Rhinolophus ferrumequinum: one gene and its partners. The protein of the gene in region 2 interacts with the protein of the main gene of each other region in a pairwise test. Links are inferred from orthologs where the notes say so. Each region holds a gene or a part of one and is shown on either strand. Other genes may lie near its edges.

What was found.
Region 1: the proteins of PPP1CB (region 2) and PPP1R7 interact in binary tests that used the Homo sapiens proteins (3 or more experiments, as listed by UniProt). The link is inferred for Rhinolophus ferrumequinum from reciprocal best matches to the Homo sapiens genes PPP1CB and PPP1R7.
Region 3: the proteins of PPP1CB (region 2) and CSRNP2 interact in binary tests that used the Homo sapiens proteins (3 or more experiments, as listed by UniProt). The two-hybrid records come from large-scale screens. The link is inferred for Rhinolophus ferrumequinum from reciprocal best matches to the Homo sapiens genes PPP1CB and CSRNP2.
Region 4: the proteins of PPP1CB (region 2) and PPP1R3C interact in binary tests that used the Homo sapiens proteins (3 or more experiments, as listed by UniProt). The two-hybrid records come from large-scale screens. The link is inferred for Rhinolophus ferrumequinum from reciprocal best matches to the Homo sapiens genes PPP1CB and PPP1R3C.

The regions. Positions count from the first base shown.
Region 1 is NC_046291.1:514,744-521,659, forward strand, and holds the start of PPP1R7 (protein phosphatase 1 regulatory subunit 7), read right to left. Parts: upstream 3,039-6,916; 5' UTR 2,975-3,038; coding exon 2,923-2,974; intron 140-2,922; exon of another isoform or gene 88-139; coding exon of another isoform or gene 78-87; intron 1-77. UniProt on the Homo sapiens protein: Regulatory subunit of protein phosphatase 1.
Region 2 is NC_046296.1:52,233,390-52,241,414, reverse strand, and holds the start of PPP1CB (serine/threonine-protein phosphatase PP1-beta catalytic subunit), read left to right. Parts: upstream 1-5,010; 5' UTR 5,011-5,145; intron 5,146-5,201; exon of another isoform or gene 5,202-5,387; 5' UTR 5,388-5,475; coding exon 5,476-5,527; intron 5,528-8,025. UniProt on the Homo sapiens protein: Protein phosphatase that associates with over 200 regulatory proteins to form highly specific holoenzymes which dephosphorylate hundreds of biological targets.
Region 3 is NC_046293.1:51,585,857-51,593,242, forward strand, and holds the start of CSRNP2 (cysteine/serine-rich nuclear protein 2), read right to left. Parts: upstream 3,039-7,386; 5' UTR 2,675-3,038; intron 2,556-2,674; exon of another isoform or gene 1-2,555. UniProt on the Homo sapiens protein: Binds to the consensus sequence 5'-AGAGTG-3' and has transcriptional activator activity. May play a role in apoptosis.
Region 4 is NC_046299.1:30,362,868-30,370,470, reverse strand, and holds the start of PPP1R3C (protein phosphatase 1 regulatory subunit 3C), read right to left. Parts: upstream 3,039-7,603; 5' UTR 2,925-3,038; coding exon 2,911-2,924; intron 902-2,910; coding exon 1-901.

The DNA.
Region 1 (6,916 bases), on a different chromosome or scaffold from region 2:
TAAACATACTAATGCTGACACGTAGCGAAGCCTGCACATTGCGAAGAGGGGACCATTGTGACCCTCCTGCCACATACCTTCATCCATGCTCCACTATCCATTTGGCCAAGAAAACCAGCCCAGTTCACAGGCCCACGTTCTGAAAGAAATTAAGACTAACTCAAATCAGACTGTGGGTGGGGGGGCTCTAACGAGACAGGAGAAGACAGCCAATAGTGCTAAATGCCCCACGAGAAGGTCACAATGCTAACTAACACCAGGGCATAGTGATGGCAGCTCAAAGCTCTGAAAGGCTGGTAAATAATGTTTTTCGAATAAACACGGCAATGATTACATGGGGCAGACTGATAAAAATTCATTGGCAAAACTGTCAGATAAGTTTCCTTTCTCCTAACTTTTTCATGACCTCTTTTGGAAGTCTGTCTGGAAGCCCTCAGGCACTAACAGCTTCCAAGTTTCCTGACTACAGCTTATCTCACAGGAGCGTGCTCTTTGAGAGGGAGACGGTCTAGTTCCAATTTGTATCTCCCGCTGGGCCAAGTGAGGAAGCACCCAGGAAAGGACTGCTGGATGAAACACGTCCCTATGGAACCCACCTCCAAAACCTCCAAATCCATTCCTTCTTCCCTGCCCCCAGCAACTGCCTCGGCTCAGCTACTCCTCACCTGTGGCCTGGGCTCCTGCTGGGCCTCCTAACTGGTCTCTCTGTGGCTTGTCTGGCCCTGACTAATCTATTCTCCATTGCCAGAGTCTGATCTGATTCTAAAACCCAAATCTGATCTGTGACTCCACAAAATTTCTGGAATACCAATGGCTCTTCCTGACTTTGCATCTTGCCCCTAGAGACACAGCTTTGGCAGTTACTTCCTTTTCCAAGCCTCAGTCTCCAAATCTGCAGAAGGGAGCTGGTATAGTAACTATATCTCAGGGCTGCTGTCAGGATTAAATTAGATAAGGCACAAAAGCAGTTAGCTTTTAATAAATAAAAGCAGTACACAATTAATTAGTTACAGGTACCCCTGCTTTTCAAAAGTTCACTTTACACCACTTCATTTTTAAGAAAGACTTATATTCGTACCTGTTATCACTAATGAAAGAAATCTGAAGAGGAATTTAGTTTTTACAAAAAAACGTGAAAAGTGAAAATAGCATTGTTTTGTTTTGCAGAGAGCCCTAAAAGAGGCAGCACACACCCCAGTGAGTGGCACCACTAAGCCTAGACCCAGGGCACCTACACCCAGCGTCTCAGCATCGAGCTGACATAGCTTTGAACTGTATCTGTGAGCATCTATGTTTTATCTCAATTTTGTGCATCTGCAGTAAGTTATGTCCTAAGGTAACTGCTTCTTTGATTTATGCCGTTTCGGGTTTGAAAGGTTTTATAGGAACGTTCTACTTTGAGATACTGGTAGCAGCGGAAACCTGCCTGCACTGCCATTCCATGCACTCTGTGGTCAAGGCTAAGAGCAAGTTCTACTGGGTTATGGATGTGGCTCGGCCCAGGGCGGAAGGGGCTTAGCTAAGGAAGAGCAGCCAACATGAAACCTGGGATTCTATCCTGAGGGTTGCAGAGTATGGGGCAAGTGACAGAGGACCACCATGTGAGGCCCTGGGGTCAATGGGCTGGCTCAAATATTGGCAGTGGGAACGAAAGACGTTTGAAAATTTGGAGATTTTAAGGAAGTGGAGGCGTCAGAGCTTCCTGACCAATGGATGAGTGGGTCCAGAGAGAGAAATGCCTGGGGTTTTCGTTTGTCATTTACTAAGGCATGGAAGTGGTTGGTGGGTGAGGAAGAGAAAAAGGGGACAGGAAGAGGCACTTCCTTGCTTAAAAAGATCCAAGGGTTTCAAAGTCCAGGACTTTTCAAATGCTTCCCCCCCACCCCCCACCTTCTCTTGCCAGCTTCACTGGCACTCTCCACCCTCATCCAAAATGACTGTCATCCTTGGTCAAGCTCTCCTCCAAACAGGTCTGGATCTCTCACAGCCCTTTGCCTGTGACTGTGTGGTTTTCTTCCCCTGAAATGACCTTTGATCTTTCCCCCACCCCCAGCCTGGCCGAACATTTAAGGTCCAACTTGGAGCTTTGGTTGTGCCGCCTTCACTGCTAAGTACGCCAGCTCTTCCTTTATGGCACCCCACCTCCAACCCTTTCTGCTTCCTTCTTACCGGCATTTACACTCGAGTGGCTGGCTGCTCTCCTGGAGCTCTGTGTCCCCCATGAAACCAGCGCAGCCAAGAGCACATCAGTATTGTGATAGAACTGACTCTCCAATTGAGTGTGTGTGTGTACAGTCGTATGCACATATATGCATATAATTTTTTTCAACAAAGTGAAAGAGTTGAATTTAGTCCTCTCCTAACTGTGATAACTTTGCAAACAGGCACCTGCTGTTCTGTAACAGTCTCTCGGCTCCCTGTCACCCCCTTCTCCACAACCCATTCGCTTTCGAGAGGACCCTTCTCGAAATGAGCCTTCACTAATGAGCCAGCGCGGGCAGTTCCCACGGCGCCCTGCGCCTGTTTCCTCGTTAGTTGCACGGGGACCCCGAGGGTCAGGCTCAGAGGTTCAGTGCGAGGCTCCAAACAGAGGGTGAACGCCCGCGCTGCGGGACTACGGCGCCGTCAGTCCCCAGCCACCCACCCGCCCACCCCGCTCATGCCGCCGCTCTCCCCTCGATCCTGGGTCGGGCGCCTCCCGGTCCGCCCGCGCCTTCCCGGCCGCTGCCGCCTTGGCTCGGGGCCCCCAGGGCCGCCCCCGCCCCCGCCCCTCCGAACCGGCTGGCAGCTGTCAGGGGCCGCACGGCAGGGCCCGGGCTGTGGTCGGAGGCGGGCAGCCCCGTTTCTCTCGGGCAAGGTCGGTGCGGGCCGCCACCCCCAGCCTGCTGGGCCTTTCGGCCACCGCCCTGTGGGGCCGCTCACCCTCCATCATCTCCTGCGACTGTTGCTGACCGGCACCGCGCTCAGCCGCCATGTTGGCTGCTCTTCCCCTTTCCGGAATCTGTCGCCTCAGGCCCTTCAGCCAATCAGGGCTCCCAACTCAGAACTCACCCAGCCAATGGAATCCCAGCGGAGGGGACTGAAGCCCCGACGCGCCTGCGCGGCCGCAGAGCCTCACGGTTAGTTGTAGTCCATCCGCGAGGTCGCGCGCCCTCAGTCTCCGCGCCGGCCGTCTCACCTCCCCCGGGCAGGTAATTTGAGAGCGCCCCGGAGGCGTCTGGAGGCGAGGAGCGGGAAGGAGGACTGGGGCAGTTGGGGCTGCACGCACGGAGCAGTGGCTGCAGGCAAGCGGAGAGAAGAATCTGGGAGATGCTCTGGGCTCGTAGCGAGTCTCTGCGTGGGGCTGCAAAGTGCGGGCCTCCGCAGAGGCGTCTGTACAATGGGCCGACTTTGTCTCGGCGTCGCCGCGCGGACTTAGTCCGAGTGAAGGGGCCGCCTCCAGTTAACGCTCAGCGCGGGACGGGCTCGGCGCCAGGGCCGGGGCCGGGGAGGAACTCCGCCCGCAGGTGCCGGGAGAGCCGGTCGGGGCCCGGGACGCCGACCCACCCACAGCGGGCGCCGCAACCTCCGTCGGCCCTCGGCCCCGCGGGTGTGCTTGGCCCGTGAGGGAGCCGCCCCTGCTGCCCCAGCCTCCAGGGCGAGGCTGCTGAGAGGCGAGCTTCGCGCTGCTCACCCTTCTCGATCCCAAGACCAGAGGAAACGGTGTCTGCCGTACCCGGCTGGCGGGCCGCCGTCTCTTTTGGCTCCTCGGAGGCGCCGTAGAAGGAGTCCGGTGCGTCCTTAGCAACCGTTAGCGCGGGCTTCTCCACCCCGGCTCGTTGAGTCCTGCCCACAGGCGCCAGTGGTTGGCCTATGGGGCCTGTCAATTGGCGTGAGTTGCTCCGCGATTGGCCGGCGGGGCTGGAGGCGAAGATCGGCTTCCTCGCGGCTGGGTGAAGCAACCGGCCGGCTGACTCGTCCCCAGGTGAGATGCCTGCGCTCCTGGGAGTCGACCCGGGCTCCGCAGGGTCCTGCTGCCCGACCCCGGCGAGGCCCTCGGACGAACCAATCCGAGCCCGGTGCCCCCGCCGCTGCCCGCTTCTCCGTGCGACTCCCGCCGGGGTAGCGGCCCGGCGCCCAACGGCGGTTTGTGCCGCTTCGCGCCCTGGGGCCCTGGGCGGAGCCTCTCTGGTCCTCAGCGTCTGCGCCCCGGCCCCACCCCACCCGGCGCTCAGTCCTCAGCTGCAGTTAACTGTGTGCGCTTTGTAGTCACTATTGTTGCTTCTCCTGGAAGGTGAACTCCAGAATGGAGACTGCCCTCCTCTATGCTGGGGACGGTGCCTGTTATGCAGGACTTTTCAGTAAATATCTGAATGCGTGAGCTGTGGGGTGCAGCCCGGCTTCTCGACATCTCCGCTTGGAGGCCTCCAAATACCTGGGCTTTGTCCGTCACCTTCGCCTTTTCTTTTCCAGAGAATGGCAGTGGCCTGAGCAGAAACCTTGGGGTGTGGGCTTGATGCTCCTCATCCCCTCATCCCCGTACCTTGCACCTCTCGTCACCCAGTAAGTCGACGGCAGCCATAGGTCGAGTTTTGACTTGGCGGTTCCTCTGGCCGTCTTTCTGACATCGCTTATTTTAAGACCTGCTAATACCTTGCCTGGATTACTGTAACTTTTCTCCCCCCTTCTCCCCCCAGCATTGCCCCTGGAGTGACCTTTGTAAACTGGGCATCTGGTCATGTTCCCGAGCATGGAGCTCTTTAAAGTCAATGTTAGGGACGCAGTCCGGACTCCTGGAGGAGGCCCAGGAGGCCCTGGGAGTCGTGCTGGGCTGCTCCAGGCCCATCTCCACCTACTTTCCTGTGTGTGGACTCCTCCCCAAGGGCGCTGTGGGCACCTTTGCCCTGTGGTGGTTCTGCCTGGAAGGCTTCTTCACAGTGCCAGGCTCAGCTCTGCCAGTGTTCCCTGGAGGAAGCCTTTGCTGACACCCTCCGTTACAACAAATCCAAAACAATATCCTTCATCCCGGATATTGTTTGGATGCCTGATGCCAGAAACAGAGGTGCAGTCTCAGAACGGCTCTAATGGTGAATGAAGCTGTTGGCCCCCAAACCTGAAATCCCGAGGAAGGCTGGTTTTAGGGTGGGTGTATCCAGTGCCCCACGTGGCATTCTTGCCATTTTCTGCTCTTCTGCCCGCCATGTTGGCTTCACCCTGAGGCTGGTTCTACTCGTGGTTGTACAGCAGTGGTGGGAGAGTTGGAGCTGCTTGTTACCTGGCTTGTGGTCTGGTGGCAGGAAGGTGGTTGGTTGCATCCAGAAGTTCACCCATGAGAGGAAGGAGTACTTTCCAGAAGCTCCCTGCAAACCTCTTAGAAATGACCTAAGGTGATGTGAAGCCAGGCTGTGCTGTCAGCAGCCAGCCTCTGGCCATGGCGTGGGAGGCCCTCGTCCCTGTGGTGTGGAGTTGCTGTGCAACGCTGAGTTGGCGGGGAGGGACCCCCCCCCCCACGGCACAGAGAGAAAAGGACCTGTCCTTCCTGTATTCACTTTTTTTAAATTAATTAATTAATTTTAAAATTTTTTATTGAGGAATACTGGGGAACAGTGTGTTTTTCCAGGGCCCATCAGCTCCAAGTCGTCGTCCTTCAATGTAGTTGTGGAGGGCGCAGCTCAGCTCCAAGTCCAGTCGCTGTTTTCAGTCTTAGTTGCAGGGGGCGCAGCCCACCATCCCATGCGGGAATTGACCCCACAACCCTGTTGAGAGCTCGCTGCTCTAACCAACTGAGCCATCGGCCACCCCCATATCCACTTCTTGATTGATCAATTGTCGGCACTATTGACTTGTTTTCATGAAAGATGACATTTCTTGTCCTTATCCTCCCTTCACATTACCTTCCCTTCTCTCCCATTTGTTATATTACAAAGTGAACTTTTGTAACATTTACAATGTAGTCCAAAACTAGTCAAGTCTTCTGTGCTTTGTCTATAGGTTGGTTGTATAAAACATCTTAATATTTTAGTGTATACTAGCTGATTCATACAGAAGGAGAAATGCAATATTAGTCATGAGTCATGACAGTAAAGTGAACTCATTTAAACTCACCACCCAAATTCGGAACCAGGGGACCCTGTGCTATTCCAGGTTGCTGCTGGACCCACAGAAGAAACCTCCTGCCTGAAGTTTATCACTTGTGGGTGTAACCCTAAAGGATTTGTTTAGATTGGGGGAGGTTATAAAAAGGGAGCCTTACTGTTGATAGTTTGTTGTAACTTGGTTTTTTTCACTTTTTATAGGGCCAACATTTATCCTTGTAGTGTGCATAGAATTTTTTTTCACTCTATAATTCATAACAGAATTTACAATCTATTTTCTTGCTGCTGAATGCTTAGGTTTATTATTTTTTCTTTTTTTCTGTTCACATTGTGAACCATGCTGTCCTGAACATTCTTGTGTTTGACTTGCTACCCATGTGTAAGAATTTCTATAGAATATAAATGTAAGAGTGGAATTTCTGTCAGAGTAGGCAAATGTTTGACTTAAGTTGTTTCCTAAAGAGGTTCATTTGTTAGAATTCCCCTTGAGCCGCATCTTTATCGATGTTTGGTGTCATTAGAATTCTTGATTTTTGCTGATTTAGGAGGTATAAAATTGTGACGATTATGGTAACAGAGAAGCCTGTTGTCATAGGCTTGCTTGTTGGCCGCGAGGGTTTCCTTTTCTGAGAAATTCTTGTTCCTGTCTCTTGTCCATTTTTCTATTGGGCTGTGTGTCTTTTAAAATTTTTTAAATTTTAAATTATTGACCTTTTAATCTCCTGGATATTAGTTATCTGTTGGTTATTCACGTGGTGAATATCTTCTCCCACATTGTGACTTATCTCATTTTCTTTATGACACGTTTTGTGAGCAGACATTCTCAACACCTAGTGTGCGGC
Region 2 (8,025 bases):
CTTTTGGTTTGGAGCCAACTTCTTCCTGGCAACCAAACCCCCAGACACCATGAACTACCCTCAGCCTCCCCACCCCCCTTATTGGATCCAAGGTATCAGAGCCTCCCTCACTGTCCAAGCTACCAGACTAGTCTTTGTTTCACATTTAGTACCCAGTCTGCCTGTGAATTAGAACTAGAATTGTATTCCGACCTGTTGCTCAGGGTGGTGGCAAACACTGATAGATGGTTTCTGCCATGCCAAATTAGAATCCTCAATGGCTTCTCCCCATAAACTTTGTTATAATTGGTGGTTAGAGTCCATATTACCATGGATACTCTTCTACAGTTACATTCAGGATTAAATTGATTTTGCAGACTGATCTGGGAATTTAACCACCATTTGTACCACAGTCTCTGTGGGAAAATATACTCTGTGTTCCAAACAATTGACCTTTTGGAGTTGATCCAGTTCCTAAGTTGGGGACGGCCTGTACAATATTATGTTACATTTTGGGTTTCATTTGTGTTTCCCAGAATCAAAGACTTGTTAAAGCTGGAAGAAACTTTGATCATTTATCAATGGACTAATTTTGTAGGTAATAAAGCCAAGGTTCAGAAAGATAGAGAGATTTCTTTACAGTTATTCAATTATTCTGGTCTCCTACCTCTGAGCCAATGCTTTTCCCACTCTCCAAATTGTTTTGTGGTCTTTTCCTCACATAGTCATTAAATCACTTAAAAGTTGGGAAGATCACGTCTTCCCCAGCATGGAATCAAACATACTGAATGTTTCATAAATACTTAATTGGTTCATTATTCACTTTGGTTTCAAGGTCTAGTCACTGTAAGTTTCTTTAAATAACAAATACCATTGGGGCATTTCAATTAAGAATTTATTTACAATAGACTGGATTTGTTTTAAATCAACATTTGAATAATAATTCATAAATAGTCTATTTAACCAGTGTTTCCTACCTAAAAGGACTACAGTGTTGGATGTCATTGCAATAAATATTTTTCACAGCTCACAGACACATTTGGTTTTAGTTTTAGTTTTACATGCCATTAATTTTAATGTGGTCTTAAGGAAGAGATTACTCATTTTATAACTACATTAGAAAACTTAATAAGGCTTTGTTTGCTTGTTTACTAAAACCAATTGAAACAGAGTCTTATGAAACAATTCAGAAATAAACTTTCTCCAACTGAAAAGGTGCCTCATGCATAATTTGGATATACTGTATGAGGAGAGCAACCATCATAAGAAACAAAGTATTTAAATTGTTTTATTTGAAACACAATGTCACATTTTATATACTTTTCTTCACCAACAAACACCTTTAGTTACTTCCTGGTATCTGTTTGAAAGAGCAGGATGGGAAAGCACTGAAAGAGAAACAATCTCATGTATGTAGATGACATGGTTTTATTGTAACAAACTAGGAATGACCTAAATAGACAGCTGGCCCTGTAATCTAATTACAAGAAAAAGAAGGGCCATGGATCAACTCTGCAAAAATTTAACAGTCATCCTTTGTGGTAGCTGCCCATCAATTTTAATTGCCTTATAGTTAACAGTTTTATACAGCCAGTTAACTCCTTCCAATTATCAGGCATTTATTTTGTAGTCATTTTATCTTGAAGGATACACTAGAGAACTTAAGAGATGATGCTCCAGTGAGAGTCTGTGTGTACGTTGGGAAGTCAGAAGCGTGAGGGTGGGGGTGGGGAGGAAGCAGGCTGCTATTATTGGCTAAGGGAGAAGAGGCTTTTGGTTATATCTGGCTTTATAATTTTGGGGGCAAAAATAACTGAGGAGGGGCGGCCAGGTGGCTCAGTTGATTAGAGTGCAGGCTCCCAACAACAAGGTGGCCGGTTCAATTCACGCATGGGATTGTGGGCAGCGTCCCCTGCAACTAAGACTGAAAATGGCGACTGGACTTGGAGCTGAGCTGTGCCCTCCACAACTAGATTGAAGGACGACTCGGAGCTGATGGGAATTGGAGAAACACACTGTTCCCCAATATTCCCCAATTAAAAATAAAATAACTGAGGACATGCTTTATGACCTAGCTGATAACTTCGGCAGTTGATGATTTTCTCATATGTGTATTGAAATGAAAGCAAAACTAAATCTTAAGGAAAAATCTTCGCACTGCCCAGGTATACCACCTAGGCCTGGTTCTGTATTGAGGGATAGGCTTCTACTGAAGCATATATCCTTGTCTGGTTTCCCAATATCCTGGAATTGAGTTGACTACAAAAGCCAAAGACATTTGATATACAGAATGGCTGCCCTCCAGGTATATCTGGTAAAATTTAGAACTTACTGCCACTTAAGACTTATTAAAGACTTGATTAAGAGGTATCACATTTATGGAAGGACAACCCAATGAATATCCATCCATGCATTTATAAGCTATCTTGGATTAGTCAGGCAGCAAAGAGCTATCACTATCACAACCTCCACATTTTGCTATTAAAACCTACTCACTTTCACACTATATTGGCCACTGACCAATATTGAGAGGCATATAAAACATCCCTATGAAAGTCTGTGCTGTGTTTACAAAAAATAAATCATGAGACTATTGTTCCCTGTGTTCCAAAGTGCCTTCTTTGAGGACAATCCCTAGAAACATCTCTCTGGTCTCAGCACAGTGATGGTTGGGTTCCTCTAAGCACTGGTCTGTCTTTAGCTAATGGGCACTGGCATGTCCCAGACATTTCTTGTTATTAAGTTCAAATAAGATCATGATTTTATGAAGACCCACCATCAAGATTTCCCAAGCCCCTTGCAATCAGGACATCCAATTTCCCTGCACAGACATTTCTAAAATTACCCAAGGATATTGACATGCGGTAAATGTTTAACAACCAGCGTCCTGGTGAAAAAACTATAGATTTGTAGCATGTGCTAATTTCCTTGGTGTAACTACTCCCACCATGGTCAACATGATGTCACTGAACAAGGAGATGGAAAGAGATGCATAGTAGCATATGATTATATAGTATTCCCACAATAGAGATAAAACAGATGCAAACAACTTCCATACATAATAGTAAAATGTAGCAACATAAATAGGATGTGATGTTTTGAGTAATCATTACCTTTGTTTTTAGTACTGTATAATTTATTTGTAAGTCCATATAATTTAATTTTAAAATAATAGCTCTGTTTAACAATTGGCTTGCAAAATTCCTAAAAGTTTTAACAAGTGGTTCTCATGAGCCAAAGTAAACTGGCTCCAACACACCACTATCTAAAGCCCACTGGATTGGGAGTCCCAGATAATAGTTTGCCCTTCCACCTGTTAGATTAACAATCCCAGTGTAACAAGGAGCAATACCTTACCCTGATCCCTTTTCTAAGTCTTTTCACATGTCCAAAAAGAGTAGGAGGCAGTTTCCTATATGCATGCAATCAAAACCACTACTTGCCAGTCTGCTGCTCCACGGTCTGCTGGTCTCCAGGCTTGAGTGCTCACCATGGTGCCTGGTCCAGCCAATGTCTCTTACACCACTGGCAGCCTTCTTTTGTCTCTGCTTCTAAACTGTTGGCTTCCCTAACTGATGACCTCCACTCTGCCCTTAGGTCAGTGCTCACACTTCAGTCAAGAGCCTCCTCAGTGTATCTGCCACACGAGGCTTCTCTCCCCTTGGTACCTACTCACCTACTCTTGAACCTTACTGTGGTCCCAACTGCCACTATTGCGGCTGCTACCTGCAGCCTCCGGATGTCCACCCCTTACTTCTTCCTCTGTCCTCAATTTCTTATCCAAAGTACAGATAAACTTTGAACACTGAGTTTCACGTAAATGTGGCACCAAAACTTATTTATCAAAGTAGGATAAAATGGAAATGAAGCATGACCTCAATTTTATAAAAGATATATATATATATATATATATATATATATATATATATATATTTAAGTAGTTTTTCAGAATTTATATACCTACCTCATAGGGCTGGTGTTAAGGATTAAATGAGATAACACATGTTAACATCTAAAACAGTGCCAGAGCACATACAGGGATCTCAATAAATGGTAGCTATTATGAATGATACATGAGCAGAAGCACTGCCTTGAGCTTCGGATAGCATCTTGTCTGAGTTTCTGGACAAAGTTGTACTTGAGGAATGAGTAAAAGGCCTTTGGTCTGACCAACTCCTAGAAAAGGGCAAAAAGTCGGACTCATCTAGATCCTTTGCATGCCCACTATCCCTCCTGCCTTTCTAGAGGCAGACTACTGTGGTGGAAAGAACAGCTGGACAAACAACCTTTCTGAGCCTTCGTATTTCTTTGTCCCTCTCTTCTATGCGCCAGACAGTTGGTGGGTTTACCCTGGAGGTCACAGTCAAGTGCAGGAGATAAATGCACGATCACAAGGTGGATGATTAAGCAATCTAACGGAGGGATGGACAAAAACGCACTGTGGAAAAATAGTATCCACGCAGCGGAAGATGTAAGATATGTGAAAGCAAACTATAGAACGCAGAAAGTGGTACTCATGTAAAATATTATTGCTGATGCGGAGCCTACTGTAACTATGTCATCCAAGGACAATTGGGCAACTAGCCTTGTGGAACGGTATCGTATAAAACTTATTAACAATGCCACAGTTTTCCCGCAGAGTAACCCCTTTTTGCTTTCCAAACGCGTAAACCCGAGTTTCAAACACGGGTAACGCCGTCCGCGTTTCCCGGTTAACGGAAACAGGAAGAATCGCTTGCAAAACCAGGGAATGACGCCGAGAAAAAAAAATTGAAGCGGGAAGGGAACAACTATGCCTCCGGAGCTCCCGGTCCTGGGCAGCTGGGAAGCGGGAAGGTCAGAGCTGCCTACGCGCGCTCCGTGTAATGGGAGCTCCGGCGCCGCAAACCCCAGGAGCCTCCGGGGCGCCTGCGCTGCCTCGTCGATTCGGCGCAGTGGAAGCGGCCAGAGAGGGCGACGCACCTGCGCGAAGGCGGCGGCGGCGGTGGCGGCGGCAGCGGTGGCGGCGGCGGGAGAACCGAGTCCAGTGCGATTGCGCGAAGGCCGGGGAGGCGAGGGGTGGCCGCGAAGGCGTGCGCCGTGCGCCTGCGCGGGCTGCGTGGCGCGGTGGCCGGGCCGGGCGGTGTGGAGTGAGTGTCGCTGCGGTTGAGGCCGTCGGCGGCGCTGGTGAGCTTTGCGGAGTTGGGCGGTGCCGTGAAGGAGAAGGAGGAGGAGGAGGAGGAGGAGGAGGTGGCGGCTGGGTCTGACGCGGCCGGGTTCTTGGGGGCTCCGCTTGCTTGTTTATTTATTTATTTACTGTGTGTACCTCCGAGTGCGCGCGCTCCACTACTTGGTGGGGAGGGGGTGGGGGGAGGGCCCGGGGGAAAGGGGGAGCTGGAACCGGGGTCGAAACGCCGCGTGACTTGTAGGTGAGGGAACGCCGAGCCGTCGCCGCAGCCTCCGCCGCCGAGAAGCCCTTGTTCCCGCTGCTGGGAAGGAGCGTCTGCTGCCGACAAGATGGCGGACGGGGAGCTGAACGTGGACAGTCTCATCACCCGACTGCTGGAGGGTGAGTGGGGGCCCGGCCGGCCGCAGAAAGGGGGCGCCTCCCTAAGTCATTTCCCCTCGGTCGCCGAAACCCGAAGGTACCCCCTTTCCCGCCCTGTGGCGGCCGCCGAGGAGGGTTGCAAAAGGCTGGTTAGCCGGGGGTAGGCAGGGCGAGAGGGGCTGTCCCGGCGGGCAGCCCGGTCGGGCCCTGTGGGCAGTGTCCCCGGACCTTCGGGGACTGGCATGGCGACGCGCCGGCCTGAGGGTGCGAGGAGACCAGGGGTGCTGGATGACCCTTCCCAAGGAGGGTGCCAGGATGCGTGCTCCGTGCATTGTCTATGGAACGTGTATTTCTTCTCTGTTCTTTGTGCATTGCCCTTGGCTGCCTCCTATTCTTGTTCCGTGAGTGAATTTTATAAAAACCTTCTTGAGATGCTTGTTTGATCTGTTCTGCATTTTTATATGATGCTATAGGAGGAACTCTATTTAAGGAGAGGATAACAGCGGGAGTTGAGTGCCTCCCATTATTTTGCTTAAAAAATAGTAAAAAGACTGACGGAGTTGAAGATGCACGCAGGAAATATGGAATACGTAGACAGGTTTGCCGAAGGGATTGGCTTTCAAGTTTGAGAATTTAACAGGTTTGAACAGGATTTAATTTCGGCACAAACTTAGCAAAGGTCTGTTGTAAAGCCTCTCTTGTGTTTTGAAAGTCTTCGCAGCTTTTCAAGTTCCCAGGCCCTTCTGTTTTGAATGGTTTTATGTTGGGGTGAGGGATTGAGAAAAAGAGATGGAGATGCCAAGATATTCAAAGTTAATCGCGGTCTTCTCCCAGTGAATCCCTTCACCCTGAAATTTGCGTCATCACTAATTGCTTTGTGAGAGTGTAGGGAAAAAAATTGAGCCTTAAAAAAATTTTTAGAATCTTTTCTGCCAGAAGTCCAAGGATTACATATGCACTATCTGTTATTATTTGCTTTCAAATTACCTGAAGGTAATTGATACAGTGAAGCAATTTGTACTTAACATTTGGAAAATCATCAGAGATTGTATGATGGGGGGCGGGGCGCTAGTTCCTTCCCTTTTTTTCCCAACCAGTGTCGGTATCTCACAGTTCTGTGTACAAACTACAGTATATTTGCTCCAGATGTGGAGGCCGCCCAGCCGTCTAATACTTAATAAAAAGCAAAGTTTTACCAGGAACTCTTCTTTACCTTTTCCTTTCCTACGAAGTTATTCCTGGGAGGCCCCCTGGTGCCTGCAGTCAGTGTTCACTGCTTACGACTGTGTGTGGGCTTTTAACAGATGTGAACATATTGAGACATTTGCTTTGCCAAAAATTTTATATTGTAATTGTATGTTGTTGTAAGAGGGAAATATAGCTATTTAAAATTTTTAATATCTTGTTAACTTTGGGGAAAGTTTAGGCCCACCATCATTTTTATACATTTTAAACTAGGCTTGTAAATGTCAATGTTTTTTAAAATTTCAACTTCTCCACTTTTGTTTTCCATATACCTACGTATTTATATACTTTATATGCATAAAACATAGTAGACTTATGTGTTTTAAAATGTTTGATCTGAAACCGTGTAAGGCAAATGCACCGTTTTATGATTATAGATAACTTAAGAATCTTCACTAGTGGATTATTCAAGGTTATTGGGAAAAAATTGGCTAAGTGAGTGATTCCATTTGTTTTTGTGAATTCAAATTAAATGTTTGGTGGTTCTGGTTTTAAACAATCATTTTTCCTTTTTTTTTTTTTTTTTTTTTTTTTTTAGAATCCTAGTCTAGACATTTTCTGTTTTTAAATTAGCAAACATTTATTGACCTGCTTTGTGCCAGTCACCAGGAATCTGAAGATAAGATGCAGTCCCTTCACTTGACCTCCCAGTATAAACAAGTGATTTTCAGGCTTTTTTAGCCTCCTCTCTTTTGATATGTTCAACACACTCCCATCAGTAGAGTTTCATTACTTCTTAATCCCAGGAATTATATTTAGTTTAACAGTGCCTCCCTGAGATTCTTAAATTCTCCAGGCTCCTCCTCTCCTTTCCCCTTTCAAAATCTAAACCGGTTAAAAGGCATCCAAAACAGACTTGGAGTTTCTAATAAGTAATTATTTTTAGTCTTCAAATGAAATTTTTTATGTCTGCCTTGATGTTCAGTGATGTTACATGCTAGTTAAATTTAACTCAAATTCAAGTGATGGCATTTTGTAAAAGTTGCCTAGCAGAATAGCTACAGTGAAAAATTCGTTAGTATTAGAGGAACATACAAGTTACAATTGGGCACAGTTTCTCTACATAGGGGGAGTGGAAATTAGCAGTGCTTGATCTCACTTTAAAATGTTGATTTGAGTTCCACAATATTGTTGATTCTGTATTTTTTATTATATTAAATTGCCAGTCAGCTGTAGCACTTTCGGTAAATATATTTTATGAGTTTTGCTTTGTGTTTTTGTGTGTGTGTGTGTGTGTGTGGGCATATCATTGATGCCATGTTTACGAAGTACAT
Region 3 (7,386 bases), on a different chromosome or scaffold from region 2:
ATCAACCACATGAAAACAGACTGAGCCGAAAATCTGCTTTCTCAGAAAGGGCTTAAGTCCAGCTTCAGTTTTAATTGAAATCCAGCTGGTGTTGCTACTAGGAAAGTTGCCTTTTCCTCAGCCTAGAAGCCCTCAGAGATTTATGACTGGAAGCGAATGTGCACTTCTGGTTCTTTCCTGGGTCTCCCTCTGCTTCCGGTAGTGTGGGTTCCCTTGAATATTTCTCTTTAAGCCCTACATGGGATTGGGTCTGGTCCAAAACCATCTTTATTATCAAACTTCTCCACTGTCTTCACCCAGTTGCCCTCAGGATTATCACTTCTCTTAGGTTAATTTTTGTGCACGCTGGTGCAGCCAGGATTGCTCCATTCTCCTTCGCCCTTTGACCTATGTCTTCCCTCCTTTCACTTCTGGAATAGTGTTTTCTGGGCAATGATAGGAAGTAGGTAAGGAAGAAAAAGAAAAAAAGATGTGAAACTTAGGAGAAAACTATTTTCCTTAAAACACCTGAGAATAATCTATGGCTGTATGTGTAAATAATGTCCACACTGACTTAGCTCTTTTCACTCTGCCCAGGATTTGTTGGCATCACTTTCTATGACATGAACCCGTTAAAAAAAAAATCCATCGATTTTGTCCAGACAACCAATGTAAGTTCAAATTTCAACCCAGCTCTGGTGTGAACCTGACTTGTTACATAAAGATGTTCACTGGGCACCAAGAACAGCCCTTCCAGCCCTTCCACAGTGGCCTGACGAGATCTTCTTTTGCAACAGCCACAACTAGAATAGGTTCCACACTTTCCAATGTATCACATCAACCTCCTTTCAAACCACAGTTAGAAACCAGTCATTCCTACCTCTCTCAACTCTTCATTCATTGGCAAAGGATCAATGTGTGTGTTTAAGAGAAACACTTGTACTCCCAGTACTTAAACCCATGCAGAAATAATCAGGTGAGACTGGCAATGCAGGTCATAACTGACAGTTAACTGTCAAAGGGAGCATCTCAAACAACAAATGCTTGTGAAGAAAATAATGCAAACCTCTATGAAAGCTTTTAAATGCCAGTAAAATGAAAGTTCAGCTGCCACTTTCTGGATACAGGCCTATGGTCTTTTCTCAAGTGTCTCTACTGACCATTTCCCAAAGGTATGTGAAATAATTCAGATCCACAGTTTGTAAAGAGAGTAGGCTAGCATCAAATAAAATAGACCTACAGCATATGTGTATTTTAGTACTAGATCTAAGCCTTTTCAGACCTGTGAGGATTCCATTAACAATCTCTCCAAACCAACATGAGACTAGCAAAAGAGGGACCCCACCCACACACAAAATTTTGTGGATGCAGAATATATTTGCAAAGTTTAGGTAATAAAAGCCCTCTCTCTTAAATGAGTCCGAAATAATAAGACAACGTACATCTCACAGGAGAAAGCGACTCCACTTAACGGGAACCCAATCTTCTCCTAAAGGTCAAAGGACCAAAATCTCTAGTAAGTGTCTCAGGGATACCATCTGTAGCTGGGTTAGAGGAAGGAAGGCTTGCTGCTAAGCGTGACCTTTCTTGTTTCTCCTTTTACACTATATTGTGGTAGATTCTCAATTATGAATTTTGTGGATCTATGTGTCCCTGTGATTACCAGGATCATGAACCTTTAAAGCACTCAAGCAAAAACATCCTGTTTAAACTAGGTATTACCAGGAAGTCCCCCTCCAACCTTCGTTCCCTGGTTTTTAGCCCTTCACTGGCACAAGGTTAGAATTTGGCTTTCCCTGTCTACACTACCGGCATATGGAGGACACGAGATCTTTGTGGGAGAACTGGAACATGATGCTGCAGGGACCATTAACTCTCAAGGATATCCAGTCATTTATAACGCTGGCACCCACCAACGTCCTCCTGGCTTTGGAGATCAGCAAGATGTTAAGTCGGTAAAGAAAAGGAAAATCGGAATCAACTCTGGATTTACCTTGAACTGAAAACCGTAGGACAAGGGGACACTGTGTCTCCTGGGGATAACTTCTAACATTTCATTTGGAAGAACGATGTGTGTGTCACAATGCCACTCTAAACCCCTTTAAAAAGATGAATCAAGACCAGGGCACTAAAAGGGATGGATGGCAGTCAGCTGCGTGTTTGGGCCTGTGAGAAAGATCAAGCTAGCAACCAGGGCAAGTGATGCTTTCGTTTTCAGACACAACACCAGAAAAATGGGGGACATCAGGAACCTGAGCAGAAAGGACATGTCAAGCCACCAGTTCCCCTTAATGGACACCCCCGTTGAATCCTTCAGCTCCCGGCCCATTTCTGATTCCTGCAAACCTTCCCGCTCAGTCCAATCGTCTGCAGCCCCCACCCAGCCTTCCCATCCCTTCCTGCCTGCTACTCACAAATTCCCAACCACTCCTCCCACATTTTCCTCTATTCCTCCTCCCCTTCCTTCACTTCCCTCCATCCTACAGCATCTCCACTCTATTCCGAACTCAACCCTCATCCGCAATCCTGCCGGCTTCCAAGGCGCCCATCAGTCTCCCCCGAGCTGCCCCCGCAGTCCGGGCCCGCGTCCCCCGAGCCGCTCGCTCCCACGCCTCTCCCTACTCTTTCCCTTCCCAGCGGCGCCCTAGCTCCCCGCCCCCCGACCGCTCCCGACCAAGCCTCCCTCATTTCTGACCCCTCCATCCGCGCGGCTCTGAGTTGACCACTCCTCCACAGCCCCCGAGGGCCGATCCCGAGAAAGGACGAGGCGGCACCCTCCGCCCCGCACCCCCAGGCCCATTACCGGCCCCGCCGCTGCTGCCTCCTCCCGTGATGGTCTCTGCCGCCCCCGCTGCTGCCGCCGCCGCCCTAGCCCGGTGGGAAGGAGGGAGGAGAGCGCGAGTCCCGGGACCGCGGCGACGGTCGGGGAGTTCCCAGGGCGGCAGGACGCGGAGGGAGGGTGGGTGGGCAGGTCGGCCGGCAGGCGGCGGAGGGCAGACGGCTCCGGCAACTCAGGCGCTCCCGGCAGCATCCGCCCAGAACCGCCCCGGCTCCGGCTAACAATAGGCTCCGGCCGCAGCGCTCTGGCTCTTATAGGCGCCTGCACGTCCAGACCGACCGCCGGGGCAGGCTGGGAAATGGAGTCTACGTGCCGGCCCCACGCCCACCAGCATGACGGGAGTTGGAGGCGGCGATCGGCGCAAAACCGAAACTCGCCAAGCAAACAGGTTCAGGAGGCTGTCTTTGCTGCAGGGGACCCTGGGAAAGCGAGTTTAGCGCCGCTGCAGCCTTTTGAAGAAGAGGAGAGACCCTCAGTCACAGATCTTCAGTGACTAAACGAATTCTCCTCTAAAGCTACCCTTTTTCTTTCGCCAGGACCACACTCCCATGCCTAAAGAACATAATCCCCCTATCCTCACTCATGGGATCTTAAAGAGCATGACGTGCTGCAGCCTACCCAAGGTATAGGCAATACAAGCAATGTATTGAGTTATCTCAATATGTATTGACGGGTTAAGTGTTTTCTTTCAAAGACAATTTTACATCATCTCTGATATTCACAACTTTGCAACCCATTTTTATGATGGGAAAAACGAAGTCTCAGAAGTCATATGTCTGTCATTCGCCAAACACACCCAGCCTTGGTTCCCTATCTCTGAAAACAGTGCATGTTTCTTCCTTGACCTATAAGGCCTTACAAGATATAGGTGCATCCTGTCGCCTTACCACTCCCAATCCTAGGTCATCCTGTTTCCTCCCCTCCCTTACTCTGCTGTAACACTGGCCTCCTTGCAGTTTCTTCAACAGGACAATCACACTCTCATCTCAGGGCCTTTTGCCTAGAATACTTTCACCAGCTAGCTATCATACTTACTCCCTCACTTACCATTTGCTCAAATGTCCCCTTATCAGAGATATTCACTAATCAGATTTCTAAAATGGTGCTTCTCTTTAGTCTCTATCCCCTTGCCTTATATTTCTTCTTAGCATTTACCACCTGACATATTTTTCAGTCTTCTCTCACTTGACTAAATTCCATGAGAGCAAGGAATTTGTTTACTGTATCGTCAGCACCCAGTACAAAGCCTGGTATTTGACATTTATAAGTTCTGTAGATATTTACTGGATATTATTGGATTGATGGATGGCAGGAATTTAAACTCAGGTTAGGCTGGTTCCAAAGCCTAGTGCACTTTTCATTGCAACCAAGAACTATGGAGCCAGGTCTACTGGCTACCAAGCCATCTTGGTTTTAGAATTGAGAGATTGGGCAGCTTGGAAAAAAAGCCAAGAATTACAGTTCTCTCCTCTAGGTGACATCAGAAACTCTAAGAGGCTAGGAAACAACACTGTAAAATGAAAAAGCAGCAGATCACAAAAAAAGCAGTCTTTAGGGTACCATATACTGATCATCTCTCTATCTGCTGAAATCTAGGTGTGATGTAACATGTGATCAAGAGCATGGATCCGGGGGGCGGTCGGATGGCTCAGTTGCTTAGAGCACGAGCCCTGAACAACAGGGTTGCTGGTTCGATTCCCACATGGGATGGTGGGCTGCGCCCTCTGCAACTAAACATTGAAAACTGGACTTGGAGCTGAGCTGCGCCGTCCACAACTAGATTGAAGGACAACGACTTGGAGCTGATGGGCCCTGGAGAAACACACTGTTCTCCAATAATCCCCAATAAAAATAAAAATAAAAAAACGAACAGCCACAATATAAAGTCTTTGCACAGTTAAACAAAATAGACTCCATTTAAAAAAAGAAAAAAAAGATCATGGGTCCAGGAGCCAGAAGGCTTCAATATAAACTCCAACTGCTCCACTCGCTGTGGTGCAACCCTTGACAAGGTATGTAACTTTCCTGTGCCTTAGTTTCCTTATCTGCAAAATGGAGACAACACTATGTATCCACTATGTATCGCATAATGGAGACAACACTATGTATCCACTATGTATCGCATAGGGTTTTGTGAAGATTAAACAGTTAATGTAGTACAAAATGTTTACAACAGTGCTATGTAAATGTTCATGATTCTATTTTTCCTTGACACACAGAAGACAAAAAGGAAGAGAAGGCCCTAGACCACTCTGTAGAATCAGTGAGCTGAGTAACAAAAACCAACCTAAAAGTCATGGGGGTAGGCTAAAAGAGTCTTATATGCCTACACATCCAGTTTGAGTAGTCATGGAAATTTATCAGGGTACCTACCATCAGTCTCCGTGCACAAGCTTTGTTGGTTAATGATACCAAACTAGATGACAGCCAAAGAAAGTTAGAACATTCTTTAAGATATCAGAATCCAATTTGGCAATAAGCTCTAGATCAGTTGAACTATCATCTGGACCTCTAACAAACATCACAACTACTTACCATAGTCACTTATTCACCATATTTCATTGTCTTGATAGAATCACTAGGTAAGTTACCTCAGTGGTACCAGTTGGCTCATAATAACTGCAATTCTGCCTCCAGACTAAGCAGGGCCTATGGAGGTCAAATGACCAGGAAGCTCAAGTATAGCAGAATAGAAACTACAAAGAAAAGTAAAGAGAAATGCTAATATTAATATGTAAATAATAACATTGGACATTCAATTCTCAATGTTGCTGCTTTGTTCCAGACCATGCTGCTACATATTTATGGACCAACTCAAATGCAATCACTGAGGGGTGGTTTGTTTTAGGGACAAAAACGTCAAAGCAGAATTAAAAAGAAAAGACATACAACCAAGAACAGTAGCTGCAGATAAAAACCAAAGGTCAGATTTCCTGTCCTGGGCAGTGTTTATACATCTGTCTTAGTTACGTTTACATGTAAAGGCAATCTTTACATGTAGTCAATAGTATTCAAAATCTACTGAGCAACTGAGTAAGTGTATTATGTACAAAATAAATCTTTTATACTCATTATCCTTTTCAATCTCTCCAACAACCCTGTGAATTAAGTATTATCTCCTTTTTAAGATGAGAAAGTTGAAGTTTAAGAGAATATTTTGTTCAAGGTCACATCCAGGAAAAACAAGACCTGGGATTTGAACAGATGGTTATCTGAGACCAAAGTATATACCGTATGGACTTCTCTTTACCACCAAAAGATAAACAAGAATACATTCTCCAGAGGGTGGGGTGGGGATTGAAAATGAATAGATCAGAGGATACTTTGTGCTAAGCTTCACAGATAGACTAAGATAAAAATCTAAGGCTTTGTATTAATTTTTAGGATAGGAAACTTGTAGATTTAACCCCGAAGTTGTATGTTACTTTCTAATATACACTTAATTATAATCCAGATCTAGAGACAGGCACCTCTTTGTGACTAATTCCATCCCTATTAACCAAAAGAAATCAGTATGTGCAAATCTAAGGAAAAAGGCCACAGCAATCTAAAAACAATGTAAAAGCTGTGTTTTATCAAAGATTTCAAAAAGGACATACAGATTGATCTACATATACGTATAACACACACTGAGAGGCTCAGTCCTGACACACACTCTGCCTATTAAAAAGGGAAAGAAACAACCAGGTTTGAGGGGATGGACGGCAGTGGTGAGTTTAGAGAGGGCAAGCTTAATAAGCCTAAAGGAGGTGAGTGAAAGTCTAACGCAAAGTTATAAAGATGTTCAGAGAAAGATACTATCTATATAAGTTACAAAGGTGTCTAGAGAAAGATACTATCTAAATCCTTAAATGAAAAATCAGACATTAGAATTCAGAAAGAAAACAGGATTTTGCAGTGACTGAGGAATGTGCATCTCATTTTATGCAAATATGAAAACACAGATTCACATAATAAACTAGTTCCTAAAAGATTCCATACAGTACAAAATAGTACAATAATGCACTAGTATTTTTAAATAGCAAGTTCCCTTATAATTGACATTAATCCAACTGAAAACTTAATTCATATGTAACTTTCAAATCTCTGAATTTGAGAATACAAATGTTAGACTTAGTTGCAATTTCCAAGATAACTTGTTCAAGAGGCCTATACTCATAAGGAACAACACAGAGATCTGGAAGTGAAAAGACGCAAGAACAAGGAGGAAGTAGAAATAGATGGAAGTTGAAAGTCAAAGGTAAAATACAAGATCATTAAAAAGTAAAAATAAAAAGGGGGGGGAATAAAATATTAATTATACAAAAAAAGGTGCTGATGGCATTAATCTCACACCACATAGGGCATCGTTTCCAGCTCATTCCATTTTGCAGTGGTAATAAATTCTTCCTCATTTAAGCCTTGGAGCTCATATAATGAAACCAAAACTTAATCACAAATTAAAAATAAGTGTTCTAGAAGAAAAGCGTTAGCCCACAACTAAGAAAACAGAGCATTTTTAGGAGCAGCAGCAGAACGATGCAGGATTACACTATGAGTTAGTATATAAATTATGCAGCTAGGTGGGG
Region 4 (7,603 bases), on a different chromosome or scaffold from region 2:
CTGCCATTCTGGGAAGAGCCCGCTGGCCAGCCTAGGACTGCCAAAGATTGTTGGCTCTGACTCAGTCTTGGGTGGCACCCGGTGGAATGCACTGTCCTGCGATGCCATCTGTGTCTGCACGCCATCAGGTTTCCACTGCACATGGACAATTCTATAATTCTGACCCTCATTATTGTCCCAGAAGACCTGCCCATTAGCATGGTAAGAAATGCAGAATTCGATCTGCTCCTCAGTTGGAATGACAGAGGGTAAGTCAATGGCAAACGAGAAGGTGTCACTATCTGAGCCTCCATACACATTTTTCATGTAGGCACAGTCCACATTGGTGTAGCTTTTCCAAGTATCAAAGGTAATACGGATCTGAACCTTCTTCTCAAAGCTCACGTTTTTCACTTTCACTGTCCCAGTCACTGTTCGCTCTTGCAGAGAGCAGTTCTCCAGACACACAGAGTTCTTCTGAAAGTGGTTCCGAAAACTTAAGTAATCAGTCGAAGGCTGAGGGAAATCTAAAATCAAGTTTTTCTCCTCGTGGAGTTTTAAGCCCGAAGACAGATCATTAAGGTCCAAGAGATCAAACTGCAGATCCCACGCTGGTTCTTCTGGGAGGTCAGAGAAGACATGGATGGCGGTGAGAGAGAGGCCCTTGGAGTCAGCAAACACAACCCGTTTCTTGGCTTGGTTGTGCGAATGCTTCCAGTCATTCTGTGATTTGGCTTCCTGTTTTATATTGAGACACGGTTTCAGAGGCTTTAATTTGTTGACAAAATTTCGTCGTTGAAAGTCATCATAAGGGCCCAGGAAACTCTTCAGAGGTGGCGAATGAGCCAAGCACAGCCTCATGGCCACATCCACTGGCATGACCGAACTTGTCAAAGGCCGTGGATCTAAGACCTGGATCATCCTGGAATACAAGAAGAAGAAGGGTTATCACCTGGATCTGGAATGTTCTTCCCCTGGTCCCAAATATATACTATTTTTGTGTTGGCTAAATTATAGCCCGCATGTATCAGGAAGGTGCTACCATATGTAGCAAAAGAAAATATTAGACAGCTCTACCCTTGACTGGCCACAAGGTCATAGATTAACAGCTTAAAACACTTGGGGGGGAGGGTGTCTCAGTTTCAGCATCTGAGAAATAAAAAGGTTGGAACATATAATCTTTAATACAGCTATAAAAACCACTGGCTCTGTTCTCAACCAGGGCTTCTCAAACCTGTCTGGTCATAATGGCTTAGGGAGCTGGTTTTCTTTCTTGCTTTCTTTCTCTTTAATGCAGATTCCTAGCACTAAGAGCCACTAAGGCAGAACCTCTGGGGTGAAGATGAAGAGATACATATGCTCTTAAAGCTTCTCTGGTGATGCTAATGACCAGACAGGTTCTGGAACCAAAGTTCCAGACTCAGTGCTCTCTCTGGCTGCTTTGCTGATTTTGCTGCTGAATTGATCACCCTTCTCTGAAAAGGTAACCCACTTGAAAAGAAAAAAAAAAGCAATAAAAATTCTCATGAAACAGTTTTGAGAGTGAGAAAGCTGGAAAGCGTGAAGTCAGGGGGGTTATTATATCTGCACTTTGGTTATCATTCTCTTCCTCATTTCCCACAAAGGACCAATTGAAATGTAAGCTAGCAATGAATGCACTTAAAGAAAAACCTGACATAGAATCTATGTTTCATATAGAAAGACATCCATGACGAGTGCATACTTAAGAAGAAAAAGCTGATTACCTGAAAATTGGACTGTTTTTAATATATATTATATATGTATGAACTTGTAAATGTATAAAAACAATAGAAAATACACCAAAAAGTTAATTATTTCTGGGTGATAGGATTGGAGGTGATCTATTGTCTTGGTACTTTTTTTTTTTTTTTGGCATTTTCTAATGTTTTGGCAATGGATATTTATACCTAGCAAGATAATAAAGCTCTTTAAAAATTTAAACATAACTATGCTCAGCAATATTAAATTAAGAAGCGTCCATCAAGATCAAGATTTTTTGTTTTGTTTTTTTCCTGGCTCTTAGCCCTCAGTACATATTGCCAAGCTTATGGACTTTTTTCCCCCTATCCTAGCCTTACCGATAAGAGGTGTGTGTATATTGTCTATGACATTTCTTAGTAACTCTTCACAGCAGCTCTAAACATGCAGGCAAATGGTCATTATCACAAAACGAATAATAAAAGGACATTCACAGAATTTATCAGTCCTTGGATTTTTCTGGAAGACATATAAACTTCGAACAAACAAATGAAAGCTGCAGCTATATTTGTGGGTCTAATAATAGTTAACAGGCAGGATTTTTGGAGAAATTTTCTGCCAAGTTATGTCTAAGGAAGCGATTTAAAGTAGTTTTGTGTGAGGTTTGTTTTGTGGGTTTGCTTTGTAATTTATTTTTTGCACTTATTGAAAGACAGTTTTAGAATTTAGCGATTTCCCTGGAATTTTAAGTCCTGACCAAGAGTTCAAAAATCATCATTTGCTCAAAGTCTGAGACTGCGTTTACTATGGCCAACCGTGGTAAGAGCGGATGGGGACGAATCATAGACCTGAAGTTTTTCTCCCATGCTACACTACACAACCAGCAATGTCAAAGTGTTGTTCCCACAAGTTAAGAAGCCTTGGGACATCTGTGCAGGACCAAGAGATAACAAACAGTCCATAATAGAATCACTACTACATCTGACTCCTTAAACCAGCTTCTGGTTTAAGAGGCGGATTACCAAAATCAGCTCCGCCTAAGAAACACAGAGCAAATCTCTACACCTCCGAGGCTTCCCGGATGCCAGATTCAACACAACAGTCAGTCCACTTGGCCTCGCGTGGAGTCTCCATTTGCAGAGAGGACCGAAGGGAAACGCAGCCCAATCTCCCCGCAGCGGCGCGCACCCCTCTCGTCCCGAGTGAACCTACCTGGTGCAGCTCATTAGGCAGAGAGGGCAGCGGACCAAAGGAGGTGGCACTCGCTGCCTGCGCAAACTCGCACCCGGTTCCCAGCTGTCCCCGCTGGGCGGCAGCTCCGGCGGATTGTGGGTGCGGCGCCGGAGAGGGCCCCCCTTATCTGCTCCTGACCACGTGACCCAACTCCTCGGACCAACCAGCGCCCAGCTGGGGCGCGAGCCCTCGCGGGGAGTACGTGACCGCCGTGGTGCTGGAGTTGCAGGGCTGGAGGCGGGGGGCGGGGTGCTTGGGGACTCCCCCACCCCCTTGACTGAGCTAGCCCCGGGCGAGGAGACGCGACGGCAGCACCGCACGTAGCGGGTGCTGGCGAGGGGAGAAAGCTGCAAACCTCACCCAGGCGAGGCGCCAGCTCAGCCGGCTCCCGGGAAGGAGATGCCTTTGGAGTCTTGAGGAAGGAGTCTGTACACAGTTAGATCTGAGCACAGAGAGCTGTGGATAGTTCCAAATGTATATAGTATGTGAAATGTTTATATTGTTCATTGCTTAGTGCGCCCGCTCAGCTTCGCCTGAGTAGTAAAAAGCTGGCTGCATGTGTTTTGGTGAAGGTGAATTTACAAATGCACCAGGCAGTAGAGGAAGGCTGCCGAGAATCAACCATCTATCTCTGACAAACGTTGTTAATAAAGCATGAGCATGCGAGCCCCATAAAACAGTGAGGTAGCATTTAATTATAAGGAACTTTTTATTTCGATCTATTTTTCAGTTTTTCTCCCTGGAAGAGAAAACTAAAGCCAGAAGTGAAATGTCCTTTTTCACTCACGTGGCCGGTCAGCCACAGAGCCAGTGGTCAACCCAAATCCCTCAGCTCACTTCTGACATCATTTGGCAGTGATGTGGAAACCAAAATGTTAAAATACCACACTGTAAGTTTCCTGACTCTCTGAGCCAGTTACTTTCACTGAGGTTTCGTTATTTTGTTTAGTTTGGGGAGTTTTTAGACCATCAATCACAACCATAAAATTGAATTTCTAAGTAGAGTATGGATTATTTTTTTAAAACCCACCTCCTACTTCTGTTCTATTAACTTGGATATCCAGGCATCAATTAAAATGTACAAAAATCCTTGTGTCTTTTAAGTAACTGTCAAACAGTGAAATTGTTAAAGTGAAGTAATTAGAATGAAGAAAAAGAAACTCATGTTGAATATCACTGGGGAAGATAGTTCGTGCTTGGGCCTGAATTTTGAAATGAAAAGTCCAACTATAGCAGATTCACTAGCCCCTCAGCCCAGCCAAAACTAGCTGAAAGGACATAATCTGGGTTTGACACTTGCTAGATACTTTCCCATCAACAATTAGAATGATAGAGGTGGAAGGTACTCTAGGTTATCATTGGCTTCAAAGTCCTTATTTCACAAATGAGGAATCTAAAACTCAGAGAGGCTGCACTGCTTGCCAGAGACTGGTTAGGTCAGAGCCCAAACTAGAACACTGGGTCGAGATTTTTTCACCACTCATGATCGTATGTTGAGCTTAAAAAGTGGATATTACCAATTAAAGTTATGGAGAAACATAAAATAATAAGAATGTGTTGTGATCCCATTTTGGGGGAAAGGTGTGTATACATAGATAATAGAATATGCTCTACCAAAATGTTAACAGTGCTTATTTTTGGATGATGAGGTTATGAGTAATTAAAAATTTCTTTGTCATTTTGCTTCTCTGTATTTTTTAATTCTTCTACAATGAACATGGACTTCTGATTGAGAAAATGATTAAGAAATGATTTTTAAAGGACTTTAAAACTTTTAGATTCAGCTAACATGTATAGCCTACCTACTAGGTGACAAAAACTGTGTTGGCGCCACACACTCATGTCATTCACTCGTACAGTCCGTTGGAGTTTGCTCCTCAACATTCATGCTGCTTTCTCTCCTGCCCCCTGGTGCTGACTGGTGCCATAAAAGCCACTCTGAAGTTCCTAAAAATAGAAGATCAGCAAAACAGGGCTCTCTCTTAAGAAGAGTCAACACTCAATAAACCTCTAAACTGGATGTTCCAGTCCCTCTCTCTTTTTTTTCCACCTTCATTGAGATCTAATATAACATTGTGTAAGTTTAAGGTGTACAATGTGTTGATCTGATACACTTATGTGTTATAAAATGATTACCACCAGAGCATTATCTAACACCTCCATCATATCACATTATTACCATTTCCTTTTTGTGGTGCGAACATTTAAGATGTATTTTCTTAGCAACTTTCAAGTATATAATACAGGATTATTAACCATGATGTACATTAGATCCCTGGAAGTTTGTACTATTTGACCATTTCCCCATTTCCTCCAGCCCCCAACCCACAGCCCCGATAACCGCTATTTTACTTCCTGTGTCTATGAGTTCAGCTTTTTTAGATTCTGCATATAAAAGGTGTCATACAGAATTTGTCTTTCTCCATCTGACTTATTTCACTTAGCATAATCCGGCCCCTCACTTGTCTCCTTCCTGGCTTTTACTGCCCTTCATTATGGGCTGAGAGGCATTGGGATGGAATCAGTGTTCTTAGGAGCTGCACCAATGAAGAACGTAGATTAGGAATTGTGGGGAGTTTTATTATTATTTGTAGATTTTCTCCAGCTGTGTTTTGGCAGTATCCAAACATTGCGTTGTCCTACTTATCTCGATAATAAATCTACTAGTGAGGGCATATTGATCTATACAGTGTTTCCAGCCATGCCAGGGGTTACAAGGACTCATAAGTCACAGGCCTTTGACCATAAGGATGTTACAATCTTTATTACAAAAATACAAGTTTAAATTCATGAAATACCCAGGGAACATTTTAAGGAGCTACAAAGCAAGGGGGTCATGATTGTGTGGCTTACACAAGTGGCTCTCTTACAACATTCATCCATTATATTTCCAGAGATGTGCCCTTGTAGGAAAAAAACACCCTGCGGGAGGTTCCCAGGTTGCCAACTCCTTTTCTGCAACCTTGCCCTTTTTCTCAATGCTCAATTTGAAAGTGTTTGAGAATTCAACCTTCTAGCTATTAATATTAAAATGTCAGTACTTTAACCACATTTAGTAGAATGAACCTCATAACTGAACTTCATTACCCACAGTATAGTCAGTGAGGTTGAAAATTGCTCATTTGTGTGTGTGTGTGTGTTTAATTATTTTTATTTGTTTATTTTTGAAAACTGCTCATTTTGATTAAAAGGACTGGCATTTCTATTTTTGAGAGCAGAGAGGAGCCAGTTCACATGTCTCAGTGAATAGTAAGCTCTTAACACTAATTTCTTTTTCCTTCTTTAGCCACATTGGATGGGAACACAAATATTAGGTGAAGGAGTATAATTTGAAAACATACACACACACAGTGATTACTTTGGGTCAGGCACTGTTTTTAAGCACTTTACAAATATTAACTCATAATATTTATAAGAATCCTATGAAGTAGAAACCATAATGATTATCCCCATTTTACAGATGAGGAAACTGAGGAGGCTTTGGGAGTTTAAGGAACTTGTACAAGATTACACAGCTAGCAGATGACAGGACCAGGTTTCAAACCCTGTTAGAGTCTATGCTCCACATATGACTTGCTCTGGAAAAAACAAGCACCACACTGGTACCTACCAAGACCAAAAGGAAGCTCTGTAGAAGCCCAGAGAAATTCAGACAGGTAGGGCTCCCTGTGGAATACCTGTGGAAGCTTCAAGGAGGAAGTGAGACTTGGGAAGGCTAGGAAAATAGGAAGCATTTGAATATGGCAGAGTTTCATCTTTAGAGCATTCAGATGACAAGAAACCAGCTATGGGGCTCAACCAATGAGTAAATGAGATCACAATTGAAATGGTGCCAGCAGCTCACCATTCTTTTTAAGTGACATAATCCCAGAGGGCAACAGAAGAAATTAAAAGTGTTGCTGAATAGACTATGCTATCAGCCATTCAGTTTGCTCTGAAGGAATTTTCAAGTGTAATTTACACTGCCTGAAATTTTTTTAGTTTTTACCACATTACACCACTTTTAAACATCCTTGTAAGAGAGCAATTTGGATCCAGGTGTGAAGCACGATTGTTGTCACCAACAGTAAGTGGTTAAAGAAAGTGCAAGCACCGCCTGAGACATATAAGGGGTCTCAGCTGAGTTGAGGCAGAAAGAGAAGAGAGGGGAACAAACAAAGGATGATACACTTGGCCTCTCTAGTAATCTGTTGGGAAGAAGGACGTAGAGATAAAAAAACAAGTAACCGTGCCAGGTTGGCTCAGTGGTAAATGGGCTGTGTGAATGTTATACACATTTGCTATATGTGCTTCCAGATTTCCTATATGTGAAAGGAGAGGCCTCCCGGGCCAGGTGGCCACAGAGGATCAGGACATGTAAGGTAACTGCTAGGAGAGAAGTTTGCCTAGAGGGGAGGCAAACTTTGCCTGGGGGAAGGGCCAAAGGAGAGAGAATCTTAAGTGTTACAATTTGTTTTTAAAGTCCCCTGGATGGTATTGAACAACATTAGAGAACTGAGTGCTACAAAACAAGTGAGCAAAGAATGAAATAATCTAACTGCAGGGGAGAAATCATTCTCACGTGTCGATAATTATTTCTCCAAGTTGCTGCAGTTTCTCCATATTCATTGAAGGATTAGGGTGAAGAAATGTATATGGGACCTAAAAGTGTGAGAAAGGACCTCTGAAGAAA